4 linked regions of the Arabidopsis thaliana genome follow. The protein of the gene in region 1 purifies or fractionates together with the protein of each later gene. This does not show direct contact. Each region holds a gene or a part of one and is shown in the gene's direction. Other genes may lie near its edges. The genes, in order: emb2444, AT1G11520, AT4G21660 and AT3G23325.

Region 1 (5,004 bases):
CGGCCCCGCTTGACAACTCTAGTCACGTTAGTAAGGTGTTAATGTGGAATCATTTTGCAAAACCTATTTCTTCTACTAAACTCTTAAACCCTAAAGAGTAAAGACATTTGCACTACCCCGCGTGGTCGACGATTCGACGCTTCCAATGACGTCATCTCGCCTCTATCTCCGTTTCCTCCGCCGCTTCTCCACCGCCACCGGTATAGATTCTCAAACCACTGCTTACCCCGGCGCAATCACTATGTCCAAAGCTAAATCCAAACTCCGCAAAGTACAAGATCCAGACAAAGCCTTAGCGATTTACAAATCCGTCTCCAACAATTCCACATCTCCACTCTCCTCTCGTTACGCAATGGAGCTTACAGTCCAACGTCTCGCTAAATCTCAACGCTTCTCCGACATAGAAGCTCTAATTGAGTCTCACAAAAACAACCCAAAGATCAAAACAGAGACTTTTCTCTCTACACTTATCAGATCTTATGGACGAGCTTCAATGTTTGATCATGCTATGAAGATGTTCGAGGAGATGGATAAGCTTGGCACACCCAGAACCGTTGTTTCCTTCAATGCCTTACTCGCTGCTTGTCTTCATTCTGATTTGTTTGAAAGAGTCCCCCAACTGTTCGACGAATTTCCTCAGAGGTATAATAATATCACTCCTGATAAAATCTCTTACGGTATGTTGATTAAGTCGTATTGTGACTCTGGTAAGCCTGAAAAAGCTATGGAGATTATGAGAGATATGGAGGTTAAAGGTGTGGAAGTTACTATCATTGCTTTCACTACCATTTTAGGATCTTTGTATAAGAATGGTTTAGTCGATGAAGCGGAGAGCTTGTGGATTGAGATGGTGAACAAAGGTTGTGACTTGGATAACACAGTTTATAATGTTAGACTTATGAATGCTGCGAAGGAAAGTCCCGAGAGAGTTAAGGAATTGATGGAAGAAATGAGTAGTGTAGGATTGAAACCTGATACTGTTAGCTATAACTATCTTATGACTGCGTACTGCGTGAAAGGAATGATGAGTGAAGCCAAGAAAGTGTATGAAGGGCTTGAGCAACCAAACGCAGCGACGTTCAGGACATTGATATTTCATCTGTGTATAAACGGGTTGTATGATCAAGGTTTAACGGTGTTTAAGAAGAGCGCGATAGTGCACAAGATTCCGGATTTCAAAACTTGTAAGCATTTGACTGAAGGATTGGTGAAGAATAACAGAATGGAAGATGCAAGAGGAGTGGCCAGGATCGTGAAGAAGAAATTCCCTCCGCGTTTGGTGACCGAGTGGAAGAAACTAGAGGAGAAGCTGGGATTGTATTCAAAGGGTAATGCAGCTGCTGTTTCATCTTCTTCTCAAACTAGAGAAGTGTTAGATCAAGAAAGAGAGGATGATGTATAAAGCTCAAGAAGTTGCTTAGAAGATCTTATTTTTGTTTGTGCTTGCTTGCTTCAGCTAATATTATGGCTTGTGGAAACTGTGATCTAGCGTGTAGAAGACAAACGATTCCCAATTTACTTGTCTATGCTTTGAGCCAATTACTACGCTTGCGTTGAAAGTTAACCGTATTTTTTTGTTCTTTTCCCCCAGATCATCTGAACTATAGTCTGAATTGTGAAAATTTCATATCGTTTAACAATTTAGGTTTACAGTTATTTGTAAAACCAATTCCCAAAATGATTAGTAAAAAAAACTCAAAATCTCTAGACTCTAAATAGGCTAAATATCTTAATGGATATAAAAGAGCTTAATGGGCTTATAGGCCCATTAGAGACGGCACCACTCTAAATAAACCCCTCTTTCTTCACCGTCCGTTCTAACTTCTAGAAAAATCGCCAGAAGTGACGAAATTGAAAATCTCAGATTTCTCTTAATCGGCGACGGAGTAACGAAACAAGGAGAAGAAGAAGAAGAAGAAAATGACGACTCGAATCGCTCCTGGTGTTGGAGCTAATCTTCTCGGCCAACACTCCGCTGAGAGGAACCAAGACGCCACTGTTTACGTCGGTGGTCTCGATGCTCAGGTTTTTTAACTTTTAGGTTTCGTGAAATGATTCTGGATTTTCTCATCTTCCTCTGTGAGTTGGTGAAATTGATTTAAATTTCCTGTTTGAATCTCAGCTTTCTGAAGAATTGCTTTGGGAATTGTTCGTTCAAGCTGGACCTGTTGGTAAGTTCATATCTATATCTCCTTAAGTTTCTTCAATAGCTAATGGCTTTTGATTAGTGGAACAATGATATTGTTCTTGGCCTGTATCAGTTAATGTCTATGTACCGAAAGATAGAGTGACAAATCTTCATCAGAACTATGGATTCATTGAATATCGTAGTGAGGAAGATGCTGATTATGTAAGTGTTGCTCTTTTTCACTTACTGTGAGAAGTTAATAGACTTTTTTTTGTGTACAATGTTGAAGAGATTTCGATGTTTCTGTGCAGGCGATTAAGGTTCTTAACATGATTAAGCTCCACGGGAAGCCTATACGTGTTAACAAGGTATCGAATTGTTTCTGTAACTTACATTGTTTAGTATCGAGCGGATGGGTTTTGTGAGTTTTGATGCTGAGACTTGTTTAATCTATCTTCTATGAGTTTGCTAACATTTTGTTTGCTGGTTAAATTTGTATTAGGCATCTCAAGATAAGAAGAGCCTGGATGTTGGTGCTAACCTTTTCATTGGAAACCTTGACCCTGTAAGTATCTTTTGTGGTAGACTCTGATTTTGATACTCTACAAAGGTCATTTAATCTCTTAGCTGACCAGGTTTTGTTTTCTTTTATAGGATGTGGATGAGAAGCTCTTGTATGATACTTTCAGTGCATTTGGTGTGATTGCTTCTAATCCTAAGGTAGTATTTTTTATTTCATTAGATTGTAGTTCATGATTCTTGATCTCTTTATCTGTCTCCTGTCACCGATTCGATAGTAAATTAGGATTCATCGGTATTCCACTGTGGAGAATAAATGTTAGAAACTTTTCATTTCAGATAATGAGAGATCCCGATACTGGAAACTCACGAGGTTTTGGTTTCATCAGCTATGACTCCTTTGAAGCATCTGATGCTGCTATTGAGGTAATTATCTGCTTCTTTCATAACTCTCAGTTCTATGAACTTGCTTACGAAAAGGAGCCCAATATATTTCACACATTTAACTTCTCCGATTACCTAATCCAATGGTAGTATATTCCTCTGATCTTTGTCTGACTATTGCAGTCAATGACTGGACAATATCTCAGTAATCGTCAAATCACAGTCTCTTACGCATACAAGAAAGACACCAAAGGAGAGCGCCATGGTACTCCAGCAGGTTAGGCTCTACATACTCTTTCTCTTTTCTTAACTTATGGATTCAGTTTCTCTCCACCATTGGATCAATAACACATTACTGTTGTGAATTACAGAGAGGCTTTTGGCAGCCACAAATCCAACTGCCCAGAAAAGCAGACCCCATACGCTATTCGCAATGGGCCCTCCATCCAGTGCTCCTCAAGTTAATGGTCTACCACGTCCGTTTGCTAACGGCAGCATGCAACCTGTCCCGATTCCCGCTCCCCGTCAACCACCACCACCTCCTCCACAAGTATATCAAACTCAGCCACCATCCTGGCCATCTCAGCCACAACAACACAGCATGGTCCCACCACCCATGCAATTCCGTCCACCTCAGGGTATGCCTCCGCCACCACCTCCTCAGTTTCTAAATCACCAACAAGGTTTCGGTGGTCCGAGGCCGCCGCCACCACCTCAAGCCATGGGAATGCACCAACATGGAGGATGGCCACCGCAACACATGCAGCAGCAAGGTGGACCACCACAACAACAACAACCACCATACCAACACCATCACATGTCTATGCCTCCACCACCACCACACCAAGGTTGATAATAATCATCGCCTCAGTTTCGGACCAATTCAACTATATGTAAACCCTTTCTTTACTGGCAAGTAATCCCGAGGATTTTCCGTTTTAGATTCAATGAAACCTAATAGGGAGAGAGAGAAAGAGAAAGAGAGAGGGTGAGAGAGAGATCACAATTAATATTCTATATTGTCTTGTCTGCAGAGAATCTCTTATCTTCGGTTTAGAGAGAGAGAGAGCGTAGAAATTAGTGCCAATGTGTGTCTGGTTTTTAGTGATGTTATTTCTTGTTTGTGTTGCAGAATCTCTGATGCCGTGTGCTTTAATATTTACCAAAACTGTGCTGTAAAATCTCAATAATTTTACTTCTGACCTTTGAGGTTGCTTTTTACTCTAAACAAGAAAAAGACAGAGGAGTAATCAGTGATGGAACAGAGGTGGCTTGTTTTTCAAGTTATGGACCCATTCTCCAAACTTCAATAGTCTCTCTGACCATTTCATCTTGTGAATTCAGCTTCAGTCTTAAAAACCCTAAAAACACTGAAGATAGAGAGAGACGCATCTCTGTATATGTTTTGTTGTCTGAGAAAAGTAAAGGACAAATATTCAATTTTAATTAAACTTTTTGTCTCTTATCGATTTCAATCATTTGTCACTTCGTTTGCTGACTCGAAATAGTCCACATCGACCGCCCAAGTGTCATCTACTAAGCATTTAGATATCGTAAAAGTGAACATCTGTTCCTATCTAAGCCAATAAGCCATCTTGTATTGGTGTAAATTGTGAAACCCACAGTTCTACTACATTTCTTGGGTTGGTTCAAACTATCTACGTATACATTTTTGTAGTCACTTTGTGAAATAAATCGTGGAGTTGGAATTTATTTACAGTAGCTGCCATTGGTATTAATATTTAAGATTTTACTTTTTAAAATAAAATAAATTAACAAACGAATGTACAAATCTATTTCCATAATTTTCGCAGCAAATCTTTCCAAACAACCAAATATTTAATGTGATTACAATTACTAACTCACAAATATTCCATTCCGTGATTTTTCCACAGAAAATATTGTTATTAACGAATTTATAGAAAATATTAATTACTGGTATAATCATTATGGTAGCATATTCCAAATAAAAT
Region 2 (3,024 bases), on another chromosome or scaffold:
ATGGTGCTTCTGTTTATTGTCCATGTCCTAGCTAATGTGCTTGGAGGCTGCACTTACATTCGCTCTAAGCAAGATTTCAAAAGAGCAACGGCGAACAAGATACTCGCTGTGGCTTTCCTTGTTCTCTCCTGGTAATGGAAAAGATAATAGGTTTTTGGATTTCATTCAAAAGACAAATTTGAATTATGTCAGCTGTTTTTGTTTTTGACATACCTTTGTTTGTCTTAGGATCTTTTTTGTTGTCAGCTACTCAACGCTAATGATAGGAACATTAGCCAACTCGAGAACGAATCGACTCTGCAGCTTGCCACATCGTTGGTTTTTTCTTATTGGAGGCATATTTTGTCTAGGACATGGAGTGGTGACTTCAGCATATTATGTTTCAGCAATTGCTGCTAAAAAAGAAGACAAAGAGAATGCGCAACAAGAAAATCTAGCAAATAGAAGCCGCGCATAACACGTCTTCTTCATCAAGATACACAAAATGTTTCATCTGTAAATAAACTTAAATTGCTTCAAAAAAGCTTCCTTCCATTTTGATAAATCCGCAATATTCCAAAATAAACTCTTTCAAGAATCAATAGAAAACTAAAATATAATATAAAAAAGCCAAGAGTTCTAAACAAAAGAGGCAGAACCAAAAAAACAAAAACCATAAATATATCTAAGCGTTTGATCCAAATGCTTCAGATATCTTTGATAGCACTTCAAAAAGAAAACCATGCTTCTGCAAAAAGAACTCAAATTCCCTAGCCTGCATCGCTTTCCACTGCTCGTAAAATCTCTTCATATCCTTTGAGGCAAGCTTACTCAATCCTTGTTGAGCAGTAAGTTCATCCATGCCAAGACCCACTATCGATCTAACAAGAGAAGACTTTGTAAAAGAGACTTCTCCTTCATCCATCACCTCATCTTCACAGTTGTTTTTACTGTTGGGCAAAGAAGAATCAAGTTCATGCTTCACAGACTCAAACTTACTACTCTTCTTCGACTTCTCATTAGATTTCATACCAGATGCAAGAGCCATTCTAATACCTCCCCAAACTAACTTAGACAATTCAAAAGCCTTGCGATCATGAGGTTTGACGAAAGTAGGTTCAACACCATCCTTGGCTTTACCAAGATTGTTCTCATACTTCTTCTTTAAAGCCCTAAGCTTTTCCATAAGCTGATTCTTACTAACATCAAAACTAATAGATTTTTTCACCAACTCATAAACCTTATTCGTATTACTTACCCCTGTATCTTTTTTGTCATCAATCAGACCTTGTAAAACCACAATCTCATCATCTTCAGTCCAAAGTCGCTGGAAATAAGTTTTCTTCGTCTCTTCTCCTCCGCCACCACTCTTCTTCTTCTCCTCTTCCCCTGAAACCTTCTTAGCCCTCTTCACATCCATAGACACTGCTGCTTCATCCACTTCAAGAGAACGTTTAGCCCCAGATTTCTCGGAGGTTTTCACCTTCTTAGCCCTCTTCACATCCACAGGATTCGTCACAACTTGATCTTTCTTCTTCTCGAGTTCAGAGTCTGAATCGGTTTCTTCATCCGAACCAGATTCGGAATCGGAAACGGCGTCGAGAGTCGTCTTCAAAGGTGATGGGTTTTCAGAGGAAACGTCATCTTCATCATCCGAAGAAGAGTTTCGTGCGATTTCTTTACCTTCTTCGTCGCTTGAAGAAGCACTCGGCGGATCTTCTAACGGATTGAAACGTCTCGACATTGTTTTAGGGTTTATGGGACTTTGGAGAGACTTAAGAGGTTGAAATTGAGATTTTTGCTTTGCTGCCTTCACCACTTCGTTCTTAGGGTTTATATATATTGAACAAAGTGTCTCTCTGTTTTCCAAAAATAAATAATCAAAAAATTATTGGAAAACGTATAAAATTATTTATTGTTTTTCCTCTTTTTTTGCATGACGTTTAGATTTCCGATTTCCTTCCTTAAAAATTTGGAAATTAGCTATATTGACCAATTTTATTTCCCTATATTTTATCTCTTACAAATAAATGTTAGATCTCTCTTTTCACAACAACACCCGAATATGACCGCTCATTCAATCGTCGCACACGTTGATAGCGTCCTTCCCAAGAAATCTCGTGAGATCGACCGTCGCCGCCGCAGACGGAAGCGGAAGAAGAAGAACAAAGCATCTCAGGCCGATGTAGATGCAATGGACGTGTCAAAATCTCTGTCAAGCACTCCTACTGGTATTGAGACACCGGATGCAATTGAACTTCGTAAGGAACAGAGAAAGGAACCTGATAGGGCTCTATACCAGGTACTTGAAGAAAAGGGAGAGAGTGTTGTTGCTCCTGGAACATTGCTGAGAACTACACACACATACGTTATTAAGACTGGTACTCAGGACAAGACGGGAACCAAAAGGGTTGATTTGCTGAGAGGGCAAAAGACAGATAGAGTGGATTTCAGTTTACAGCCAGAAGAGCTGGATGCTATGGGAAATGTTTTACAGTATGAGGAGGCAAGAGAAGAGGAGAAATAGCGCAATAAGCCAGTGGACTTGAGTGACATGGTCGTCGAGCATGTGTAGCAGAATAGTAGGAAGAGGAAAATGCATGGCAAGGAAGAGAAGAAAAAGAAAGATTTCAACTTCTGAGGTGCGTTATGGAAGAGACAAAAAAAAAAAGATTTTAGATTCTGGACATGAGACATAGAAAGAGATTCATGTTCCAGAATTATTAGTCTTGAGTAAGAGATCTTGAGTTTTTAGTCTTAATGCTTATTAAAAAAAAAAAAAAATGTTAGACCACCAATGATGTAAATTTTTAAATAGGTGATTGCATCATTGTGTAAACCTAATATTTACATTTTGAAGGATTTGGTCTTTCTGCAGTATGTAAGTTAATTCAATCCCCTTATTATTCTGACTTGTAAGGGGATTCAAACCCCATCAATGGTTTCTAAACTTAAGTTTCTTATTTTAGAGAGATAAGTTTTATTATAAAAAAATGTGTGGGTTTTTTGATTAATGAAGAAACCATCTCCAAAATACTTTATATA
Region 3 (6,200 bases), on another chromosome or scaffold:
TGGATGTCTATTGTCTCATCTCAAAATTGGTTCATCAAAATCTAAACTTTTTGTTGTCCCTTGGCCAGAATTGATAGATTGATCACCAGTCCACACTAGTTTATGAATTGGATCCGAGTTTTTTTCTTTAGCAAGAATCAGGAAAACAAAAGGAAGATTTTTGATAAATGGGTAAATAAGAGAAAGAATGAAAATTTAGTGTTTGTTCCTTAAGATTTTGTTCCCTTTGAATATAGATCTGTAAAATACCGATGATGAATCCACAAAAAAAAACCCTAGTTTCTTTCTTCTTCCTTGGTTGATGATGAGTTTGTTTGTGTATCTGGGAAAAGTTTATTAGGTTTTGTGGCGTTCTAAAAATCGAGAGAAACCCTAGATCCAGATAACGAAGAGTCAAGATTGTGAATACGGCATTATGCCTTTGTCCTTGGTTTTTTTAAGGGAAAACAAAACACGAAGGGCCCCTTCATTTTCTTTAACCGTTCTTTTTTTTATTTATGTCTTATTTTAAAAACAATTAATACTATTTTTAAAAATTAATAAAAGCCTGAAATAGTTTTTATCAGCTCAAAACCTGTCAAATTCTGTTTTTTTTTCGATTCATACCGTACTTGTAATGTACTTTTATACTTGTGTTTCTGATCTCATGTTTTGATTTTTACAGTGTCAAGGATTCATATACCACAAGATATTTATAGTTCATCTAATTCTTTTTTTTTAGAAGATTATTTATTCAAAAGACATGATATTTTTGACATATACTTGTCTCTTTATTTGTGAAATATTTTTTATCTACCAAGCATGAATATTTTTTCACATATATCTTTCCCCTACTCTTTTCAATCTTTTCCTTATAAAATAATAGTTTAGTAAATAAAAAATGATTTATTTTGTTTTCTAAAATACACAACTACGTAAAGATAATTTTTTTTTATAGACAGTATTTTTTTCCTTGTTTAAAAATAACCGTTACGTACAAAAGCCGTTACAAAATTCTTTCCTAATGTCTTTTTTTTCCGTGTTCTTTCCTAATGTCTTATGAAAACAATTTTGAAACTAAAAAGGCACAATGTATATTGTTCTAATTGCATAATAAACAACCGATAACATACACCGGGAGTCGTGCTCACATTAATAAAATCTCAAAGTGAATAAAAATTACCTCAATTCATGTAAAAACTAAATTTTTACGAATAATAAACTAAAACATTTAAATTTTATTAAAAGTTTTGTTGTTAGTCAGAGAATTTTATTTAAATCTCAAATACCCACATATATACAATTTTGATACTTATAACTTTCTTCAAAATTTCAAGACATTGTGTAAACTGTAATTTTATAATTTTAAAAGTTCAATAGAACATTTTTACGAATAATGTAGAGTTAACTCGTGCCAACATTTATAGTAGTGTTTGAATATTGTTCCATACATTTCCTTTGAAATTTTCTATTAGTTACTAGTAGATGGTCTTCTACAAAACAATTCTTACACTCGAAGAAAAATATAAAGTGTTGGGCCTATTGGCAGATATATTCGTCTTCTACTTATATGGGCCTTATGCCAAACCGGAAATAGAATCAGAGAGAATTTCAGCAAACCGACTCTTGTTCATATACGTATATCCTCGATTTCCGTCGTTCTTCCTTCTCCTCTCAATCTCTCTTTTCACATCACCGATTCAGAGAGAACACCGAATATGACCGCCGATTCAACCGTCGCACTCGTTCATAGCGTCGTTTCTAACGGTGATGTCTCCAACGGAAACACCTCCGCTTCCTCTAAGAAATCTCGTGAGATTGACCGTCGCCGCCGCAGACGGAAGCAGAAGAAGAACAACAAAGCATCCCAAGCCGATGTAGATGCATCGGACGTTTCTGCTGCTTCTGAATCCAAAGAGAATACAGATCCCCAGCCACAGGTTAACTTTGTGCTCATCTTCTCGTACTCGATTCATGGAGAGGTGTTCTAGGGTTTTTCTTAGGGTTTGTGATTGTTTATCGTTTGCTGATGATTTTTGGTATATGTTTCTCTTTGATAGGTTTGTGAGCAGATTGTGATAGAGTATGTTCCAGAGCAAGCTGAATTTGAAGATGGTTTTAACGATGAGTTTAAGGAAATCTTCGAGAAGTTCAACTTCCGCGAACCTCTTGCCTCTGAAGAAGACGGTACGAAAGATGAGTCTGAGGAGAAAGAAGATGTCAAAAAGAAGGTTAACTCTGATTCTGATTCAGACGACGACGAGCAGGATAATCAGAACAAAGAGAAAGGCATCTCTAATAAGAAGAAAAAGGTATAGCTCAAACCTTATTATTACCTCTCAATTTGTTTTATTGCATTCTTTAGATTCTGAATATTCTGAATTTCTGTTTCCTCAGCTTCAACGGAGAATGAAGATTGCTGAGCTGAAGCAGGTTTCCGCTAGGCCTGATGTTGTTGAGGTATGGATGCTTCTCTATTGTGTTCATAGTACCAAGGTTTATCTCGTTGTGTAGATATCTATTGTATATTCATAAGTTCTGTTTTACAATTTTCAGGTCTGGGACGCGACTTCAGCAGATCCAAAGCTGTTAGTGTTTTTGAAGTCGTACCGGAATACAGTTCCTGTTCCAAGACATTGGTCGCAGAAGAGAAAATATTTGCAGGTTTGTGATAATTCTAGTAATGTACTGTAGTTAACTATATGTTTCTGTGATTTGTGGGTGTGGTACTGGTACATAGGGGAATTATATCAAGAGGGATAGAAACGTCTGTGATAACCATGTCAATTAAGTTTCCTTATACCTATATATGCTTCTTGCAGGAGAACATCTGTGATAACCATGGAGCCTGGACTTGTAGGTGTAACCGGAGAGGACTCTTAATTTTTTTTTTCTGTCTATATATGAAATCTGTGGTGCTTAGGTTTTGGAGTAAACTGTTTAATGAATCAGTTTGGGATATTCCCTTTCTGAAACTGTATTTTGTTTTCGTATGCATGATAGTGATCTTGCTTTTAGATGCATCTGTTTTTGTAGTACTTTTATACTGCTTTTTCTTTCTTTTTATAAGTTGGTGGCATCTCAGCGGGGTTTCATTTTTGCAGGGAAAGCGTGGGATAGAGAAGCAGCCATTTCATCTTCCTGATTTCATTGCTGCAACCGGAATTGAGAAGATTAGACAGGTAAAAGTTATTCTCTATCAATATAAGGTGCAAGTCGCTAAATGCTTCTACTGTCAGCTAATTCTTGTGTGGTTCTTATGTAGGCTTACATTGAGAAAGAAGATGGTAAGAAATTGAAGCAAAAGCAACGGGAGAGAATGCAACCAAAAATGGGAAAGATGGACATTGACTACCAGGTTTCTATTTTTTTTAATCTTTGTTTTGTGATGAGTATTTGCTGATATCTGTTCTATAACTGACAAGTGAAGCTATTCTTTCCTTTCTCAGGTACTTCATGATGCATTTTTCAAATACCAAACAAAGCCTAAGCTGTCAGCTCTAGGCGATTTGTATTTTGAAGGGAAAGAATTTGAGGTAATTCCTTGTGACATGTTTTTTCAGCTTTATCTATAATTACATTGCTTGGTTTCATTGGTTTGTTTACCTAAAATCTAATTACTATCATTTGGGAAATAGGTTAAACTGAGGGAAACGAAACCAGGGTTTTTGTCAAACGACTTAAAAGAAGCTCTTGGTATGCCTGAAGGCGCTCCTCCCCCATGGCTGATTAACATGCAGGTGAGTTTATTGTGACTTATCTTTTTAATTATTCTGATTGGAATCGAGTTGTTCACCTTTAATCTCTTCTTTGACAGAGATATGGTCCGCCTCCTTCTTACCCACATCTGAAAATTCCTGGTTTGAATGCTCCTATTCCAATTGGAGCTAGCTTTGGTTTTCATGCTGGCGGCTGGGGGAAACCTCCAGTTGACGAAGTAAGCATTTTTTTTTATCTACATTCTTCTTTTTTATTATTTCTATGCCATCTACTAACTTTTATTTTTTTCCCGTTCTTATCGTTTGTGTTACATAGTATGGGCGTCCATTGTATGGAGATGTTTTTGGTGTCCAGCAACAAGATCAGCCTAACTACGAGGTAACTGTTTTCATCTCTCTCTGTTATTCTCCTTAGTAATTGCATATTGTGCTACGAGGTAGATACCACAAAATACAAAGTAAAAGCGTCCTATTGAATATTTAGAGATCATACAATTTGGTGATAGAGTATGACGGTTGTATTTTATCATTATCTTAGGAGGAGCCAATTGATAAGAGCAAGCACTGGGGTGATTTAGAGGAAGAGGAAGAAGAAGAGGAGGAGGAAGAAGAGGAACAAGAAGAGGAGATGGATGAAGAGGAACTAGAAGACGGCACTGAATCTGTTGATACACTGTCAAGGTATTGTTATCATTATGCATTTATGAGGTGTATACTATTTATTTGTTTCCTTATCAGTATAATCTAAGTATAAAGCTGATTTGTGATTTTCCCCTTCTTTCAGCACTCCTACTGGTATAGAGACACCGGATGCAATTGAACTTCGTAAGGATCAGAGAAAGGAACCTGATAGGGCTCTATACCAGGTTTGAAACCTAATTTTGATGATCTTACACGCCTTGTAGGCTTTTCTATTAGTTTGATATAAACCAATAATTCACTGTTTCTGGTCGTTAATGCCTTTTTTTTTTTGACTTGTGAAGGTACTCGAGGAAAAGGGAGAGAGTGTTGCTCCTGGAACATTGCTGGGAACCTCACACACATACGTTATTAAGACTGGTACTCAAGAAAAGACGGGAGCCAAAAGGGTAAGCAGTCTGTTGTTACATGCTCAGAGATTTGTTGTTTTGCTTGATGACAAGTGGGCTAACGTATGCAATTGTGTCAAATTGAGCAGGTTGATTTGCTGAGAGGGCAGAAGACAGACAGAGTGGATGTCAGCTTACAGCCAGAAGAGCTGGATGCTATGGAAAATGTTTTACCTGCCAAGTATGAGGAGGCAAGAGAAGAGGAGAAATTGCGCAATAAGCCAGTGGACTTGAGTGACATGGTCGTCGAGGTAATGACTTTCTTTATATTTATATCTCTATTTTTTTCAACACTATTGATATGAATGCGGATGAATAATCAAACGTTTACTTGGTGGAATGTTTAACAGCATGTGCAGCAGAATAGTAGGAAGAGGAAAATGCATGACAAGGAAGGGAAGAAGAAGAAAGATTTCAAATTCTGAGGTGTTCTGGAAGAGACACGGAAAAGGATTCTGGATTCTGGACATGAGAGAGATAGGGAGAGATTCTTGTTCCAGAGTTATTAGTCTTTGAGTCAGAGATCTTGAGTTTTAGTCTTAATGCTTATGAGATTCTATACTATGTTGTTATCTGAAGGCTTAAGTAAAACTTTGTTTTTGGAATTTGAACAAATTCAAAGCCTGAGACTTGGAACAAAAAAAGTGGGGAAAAAAGGCTTTGTTTTGTAAGCGACGTCTTGTTTTTCAAATTGTCCGAGTACTTTCAGCGTTTATGGTTTTTAAAAGATTGATCATTCGGTCTACAGAATAAACCGTCGATGTGATCTATTTCAGTGCACCTTGTTATCTTTAAGCGAGGCAAAAATATGTACATTTTCACGACATTCGCTCCTGAAACCAAATTATGTTCATATGTTACTGTCATATGCATAGTGTGAACTAATTCATAGGCATGATCCTTGGGTTGTTCAATCCCTGCATGTGATGAAAAAAACTTAACATACTGTGGATTTTTTCAATGATGTATTCTATTACTTTTCCAATATTAGGCGACAAATGATTCGACCACACCTCATTCCGGGAGAGTAATGAAACAGCGACAAATGGCCAATTATGCCACTCATTGTCCTACCGGGCTACCACCATTCTTCACCTTTCTTTCAACATTATCATGAGCATGATGACTCGTAGAGTCGTAGGGTTCCTAAATCGCCTTTCTTCACCTTTCTTTCAACATTATCTATTTATCTTCTTTTCAAATCTCGCTTATTAATCATTATACATAGGCCTCTACATGGTAGACACATTTAGAAACAACAAGAAGTCTCTCCAAATATGAATGGTTATTCAGCCTACAAGCGATGTCAGAATTTTTTTAACACGTAGTTAAAAGTTTAACTTTGCTAGACAAATGAAATCTAAGATTAATATAAACATAAGAAAGTATATATGCTTGAAATGAGACAAATTTA
Region 4 (3,807 bases), on another chromosome or scaffold:
TTAATTTTTTCTGTTAAAAGCGAAACGACGTCGTTTTGAAATTAAAGAAAAAAACAAAAAACAAACACCAAGTAGAGTTGAACTGGTGACCTTTTAGGTGCTATTGAAGGACTAAAACCATTGAGCCACGTTAACTTTTTAGAAGTATAGTAAACATATACATATATATATATATATACGTAACTAATTAAAAATAACCAACTAAAATAAATCAATAATATAGAAAATTACCTAAAATTTACACAATCCTTCTCATATGAATATAGGATTAATCTATACATGCACATAGAATTTCATTCAACTTCACTTTATATATAATTTTATTTATAATAAAACATATATTTTATAAATTAATTTGATAAATATTTAATAAAAGAAAAATATAAGATCATTATTCCGTCTTCAAATCAATTTTTTTATTCATAATTAGATGGAAAGTATATAAAAAGTTATTTTTTGGTAATATATTTATAGGTGTTATATTTCACAAGTTTGATTTTTATATAATTTAAGAGAATTTTTTTTTAATTCAATACGTTTAATAAAAAAATTTACATTGTTATTTGAGAATATATATTAATGGTAGGTGTATTTAATATTTTTACATGTTTAGTTATTGTTTTTATAGTTCGGTTTTTATTTGGTAGGTGCATTTTTATAATTTACATCATTTTTAATATTTTTATTTGCCATTTTGGTTAATATGGAGGATTTGGAAGAGCCGGAATGATTTAGTCTTCAACAAAAAAGCAATCGCTGTCGCTGATGTGATAAACCAAGCGATAATGGACACGAAAGAATGGCTGGATGTTAAGCATAAAAATGATGACAACGTCAAAGGGGGCCAAACCAAGTCCTCAAGAACGGACAAATGGCAAAAACCAGGAGCAGAATGGGTCAAATGCAATTATGATGTCTCTAACCATGCGGGAAGACAAGACTCAGGCCTCAGATGGATTATTCGAAACTCACAAGGAACCTGTTTGGACTGCGGCTGCGGGAAATTTCAGGGTCGACAAACAATAAAGGAAGCTGAATGCACTGCCCTCATATGGGCAATACAATGCGCTTGGGATTTGGGATATAGGAGAGTAGAATTTGAAGGCGACAACATCACAGTTAATCGCCTTATTCGAAACAAAGAAACTAATCCACGACTTCGATACTATTTGGAATTCATTCAACAATGGAGCAAAGCTTTCACCACTGTGAAGTTCACATTTCGACACCGGGAACAAAACGTTTGTGTTGATGTTCTGGCGAAAAAAGCAGTAGCTAATCATATAAATCATACTCTATATCATTTTTGTCCTAGATTTCTAATGTCGTTTGTAAACAAAGATGCTGAACACGTGAATTAATAAAGTTATTGGAAGGAAAAAAAAAAAAAATAGTTCGGTTTTTAATTAGTTTTGCGTATATATATATATATCAGTTTTCATTAATATCGAAATGTTATCATAGCATATTGGTTGAGCGCTTGTGATAATTTAGGAGGTTCACGAGTTCAATCCATTCTTGGCGCAAATTTTAATATATTTTTATTTTGAAACGACGTCGTTTCGCTTCTAACGGAAAATGTTAACGAAAAGTTAACTCCGTTATTTTGTTGTTAACGGAAATTTAACGACATGCCCAAAATAGTAAAGTCAACGAAACTTAATCATTTTATCAAAAGTCAGACGAAATTTTATAATTTTAGCGGCATTTCGGAAGTTCACGTTTTTTTTATCCCAAATTTAAAAGTTAATGATTTGGTTTGATTGAAATGTCCGGTTCTGGTTTGGTTTTCTTTTGTACCGGTTCTCATAATAATAGCCACGTATTAAAAATTTATTAGTAATGGATTTGGGCCAGACCCATTCTCAAAGCCCAATCAATTTCTCAGTGAAACATATATAAACCTAATTAAAGTGAAGCAGAAGTTGTATTCTTCTTCTTGCGAACTCGCTGAAGTCTGAAAGATGCAGGTTTGTCTCTCTCGATTCGAAACCCTAGTTACTTTTTTTTGTTCTTATCTCTAATTTTATACAATTTCTTGACGATTAAGCTAAGCGTAGCTGAAATCTGGGAACAATTTGCTTTAGTTCTTGTAAAGGTTAGGTTTTTAAGCAGCAGATAGTTATGTAATCTCACTTTTTTGTTTTTGTGCAGGCAAGTGATAGGTTTAACATAAATTCTCAGCTTGAGCATCTTCAAGCTAAGTATGTTGGTACAGGTCATGCAGATTTGAGCAGATTGTAAGTATTTTTCACTTTTTGTTTGGATTTTTCAGGATTCCAAAATTGTGAACTTATTGAAAATTTTGAATGTTTTTGTGTTAGTGAATGGACTGTGAACATTCAGCGTGATAGTTATGCTTCATACATTGGTCACTACCCGATGCTTTCTTACTTTGCAATAGCTGAGAACGAATCTATTGGTCGAGAACGTTACAACTTCATGCAGGTTTGTTTACTATCTTTCTTCTTGCATCATGTCAAGGAATCATATTGAGAATGTTAATGTGTTAGTGTCTTAAGGGAGAGGAACAATTAGGGTTGTTTCAAACAGGGTAAAGTGTTCCTGCTGCTCCCCTCTTTAGCTTGGAGAAGCCAGTAAATATCTTTCTCTTCAAGGAACTTGTGGGCCTCAAGAAAACCTGCTATAATTCTAGTTTTTCAACATTCCTCCTTCTGATATCAGCAACAACTCCTTACCCTTAAGAATGGAGAATGGAACTTCCTCAAAGATATTTACTTGGCCTCTGCAACCGGAAAGGGGAGCAGCATGAAACTCTTTTAACCCTTACCCTGTATTTGTCAAAAACAGATTGTATCATATCGTAAGTTAGCAGGAAACTACCAATCTTGAGGGTTGTTTCAAACTGTTATCTTCTGGTTCTTCTACACTCAAGAGTCAATGACTTTGCATTTTTGCTAATAGCTTTTACTAACTCCAAACTTCTTTGATTTTTTTTTTGCAGAAAATGCTCTTACCTTGCGGCCTTCCTCCAGAAAGAGAAGACGAGTAAGAGCTTGTGTGCATTTGAAATTAAAAAAAACATTCTACTTCTTAGAAGCTTGTGTGCAATCTTCTTTAACTGCTCCACCAATGTAATTGCCGAAAAGGCTTCTTCTTGTTTCTAGTTCATAATGCAGTTGTTGATCATGATCTAAACATTTGTACTTTGTTATAGTCTTGATACAATTGTCAAACTCAAAGTCTTTTTGCTACTCGAACAACTATTGCAAAAGAATTGAATTGAACAAGTCATAAAAAAAAGAGGTTAAAAGTTGGAGTATTTAAATGAATGACGAAAATAAAAATCAAACCTTTATGTTTGCTAATGGTGAATCTCTGAGAAGGAGACAAAGATGAGTTCATCAAAAGCCCTAATCAAAACCCTGATTAAGAATCCAACTCGAATCAAATCCAAATCTCAAGCGAAGCAGCTTCACGCACAATTCATCAGAACTCAATCACTCTCTCATACATCAGCTTCAATCGTAATCTCAATCTACACAAACCTTAAACTTTTGCACGAAGCTTTGCTTCTTTTCAAAACCCTTAAGTCTCCTCCTGTTCTAGCATGGAAGTCAGTAATCAGATGCTTCACCGACCAGTCTCTATTCTCCAAGGCGTTAGCTTCGTTTGTGGAAATGCGAGCTTCTGGGAGATGCCCAGATCACAATGTGTTTCCTTCTGTTTTGAAATCGTGTACGATGATGATGGATTTGAGATTTGGTGAGTCTGTTCATGGGTTTATTGTTAGGCTTGGTATGGATTGTGATTTGTATACTGGTAATGCGCTTATGAATATGTATG

Evidence for each region.
Region 2: the proteins of emb2444 (region 1) and AT1G11520 fractionate together in Arabidopsis thaliana (co-fractionation; one large-scale study listed by BioGRID). This does not show direct contact.
Region 3: the proteins of emb2444 (region 1) and AT4G21660 fractionate together in Arabidopsis thaliana (co-fractionation; one large-scale study listed by BioGRID). This does not show direct contact.
Region 4: the proteins of emb2444 (region 1) and AT3G23325 fractionate together in Arabidopsis thaliana (co-fractionation; one large-scale study listed by BioGRID). This does not show direct contact.

The regions. Positions count from the first base shown.
Region 1 is NC_003071.7:8,030,434-8,035,437, reverse strand, and holds emb2444 (RNA-binding (RRM/RBD/RNP motifs) family protein), read left to right. Parts: upstream 1-1,818; 5' UTR 1,819-1,920; coding exon 1,921-2,025; intron 2,026-2,122; coding exon 2,123-2,171; intron 2,172-2,261; coding exon 2,262-2,350; intron 2,351-2,439; coding exon 2,440-2,496; intron 2,497-2,630; coding exon 2,631-2,693; intron 2,694-2,782; coding exon 2,783-2,848; intron 2,849-2,986; coding exon 2,987-3,073; intron 3,074-3,214; coding exon 3,215-3,308; intron 3,309-3,402; coding exon 3,403-3,884; 3' UTR 3,885-4,478; downstream 4,479-5,004. Other genes in the region: AT2G18520 (Tetratricopeptide repeat (TPR)-like superfamily protein), read left to right, coding at 146-1,402.
Region 2 is NC_003070.9:3,871,114-3,874,137, forward strand, and holds AT1G11520 (pliceosome associated protein-like protein), read left to right. Parts: upstream 1-1,915; coding exon 1,916-2,506; downstream 2,507-3,024. Other genes in the region: AT1G11500 (transmembrane protein, putative (DUF1218)), read left to right, coding at 1-131, 229-457; AT1G11510 (DNA-binding storekeeper protein-related transcriptional regulator), read right to left, coding at 665-1,723.
Region 3 is NC_003075.7:11,505,270-11,511,469, reverse strand, and holds AT4G21660 (proline-rich spliceosome-associated (PSP) family protein), read left to right. Parts: upstream 1-1,562; 5' UTR 1,563-1,697; coding exon 1,698-1,919; intron 1,920-2,039; coding exon 2,040-2,291; intron 2,292-2,376; coding exon 2,377-2,439; intron 2,440-2,535; coding exon 2,536-2,643; intron 2,644-2,719; coding exon of another isoform or gene 2,720-2,761; intron 2,762-2,801; coding exon 2,802-3,161; intron 3,162-3,244; coding exon 3,245-3,337; intron 3,338-3,428; coding exon 3,429-3,515; intron 3,516-3,617; coding exon 3,618-3,719; intron 3,720-3,796; coding exon 3,797-3,916; intron 3,917-4,014; coding exon 4,015-4,077; intron 4,078-4,236; coding exon 4,237-4,379; intron 4,380-4,482; coding exon 4,483-4,564; intron 4,565-4,681; coding exon 4,682-4,786; intron 4,787-4,875; coding exon 4,876-5,037; intron 5,038-5,136; coding exon 5,137-5,211; 3' UTR 5,212-5,647; downstream 5,648-6,200.
Region 4 is NC_003074.8:8,343,844-8,347,650, forward strand, and holds AT3G23325 (Splicing factor 3B subunit 5/RDS3 complex subunit 10), read left to right. Parts: upstream 1-1,926; 5' UTR 1,927-1,964; coding exon 1,965-1,970; intron 1,971-2,154; coding exon 2,155-2,240; intron 2,241-2,324; coding exon 2,325-2,448; intron 2,449-2,523; exon of another isoform or gene 2,524-2,813; intron 2,814-2,965; coding exon 2,966-3,013; 3' UTR 3,014-3,299; downstream 3,300-3,807. Other genes in the region: AT3G23320 (Polynucleotidyl transferase, ribonuclease H-like superfamily protein), read left to right, coding at 786-1,361; AT3G23330 (Tetratricopeptide repeat (TPR)-like superfamily protein), read left to right, coding at 3,357-3,807.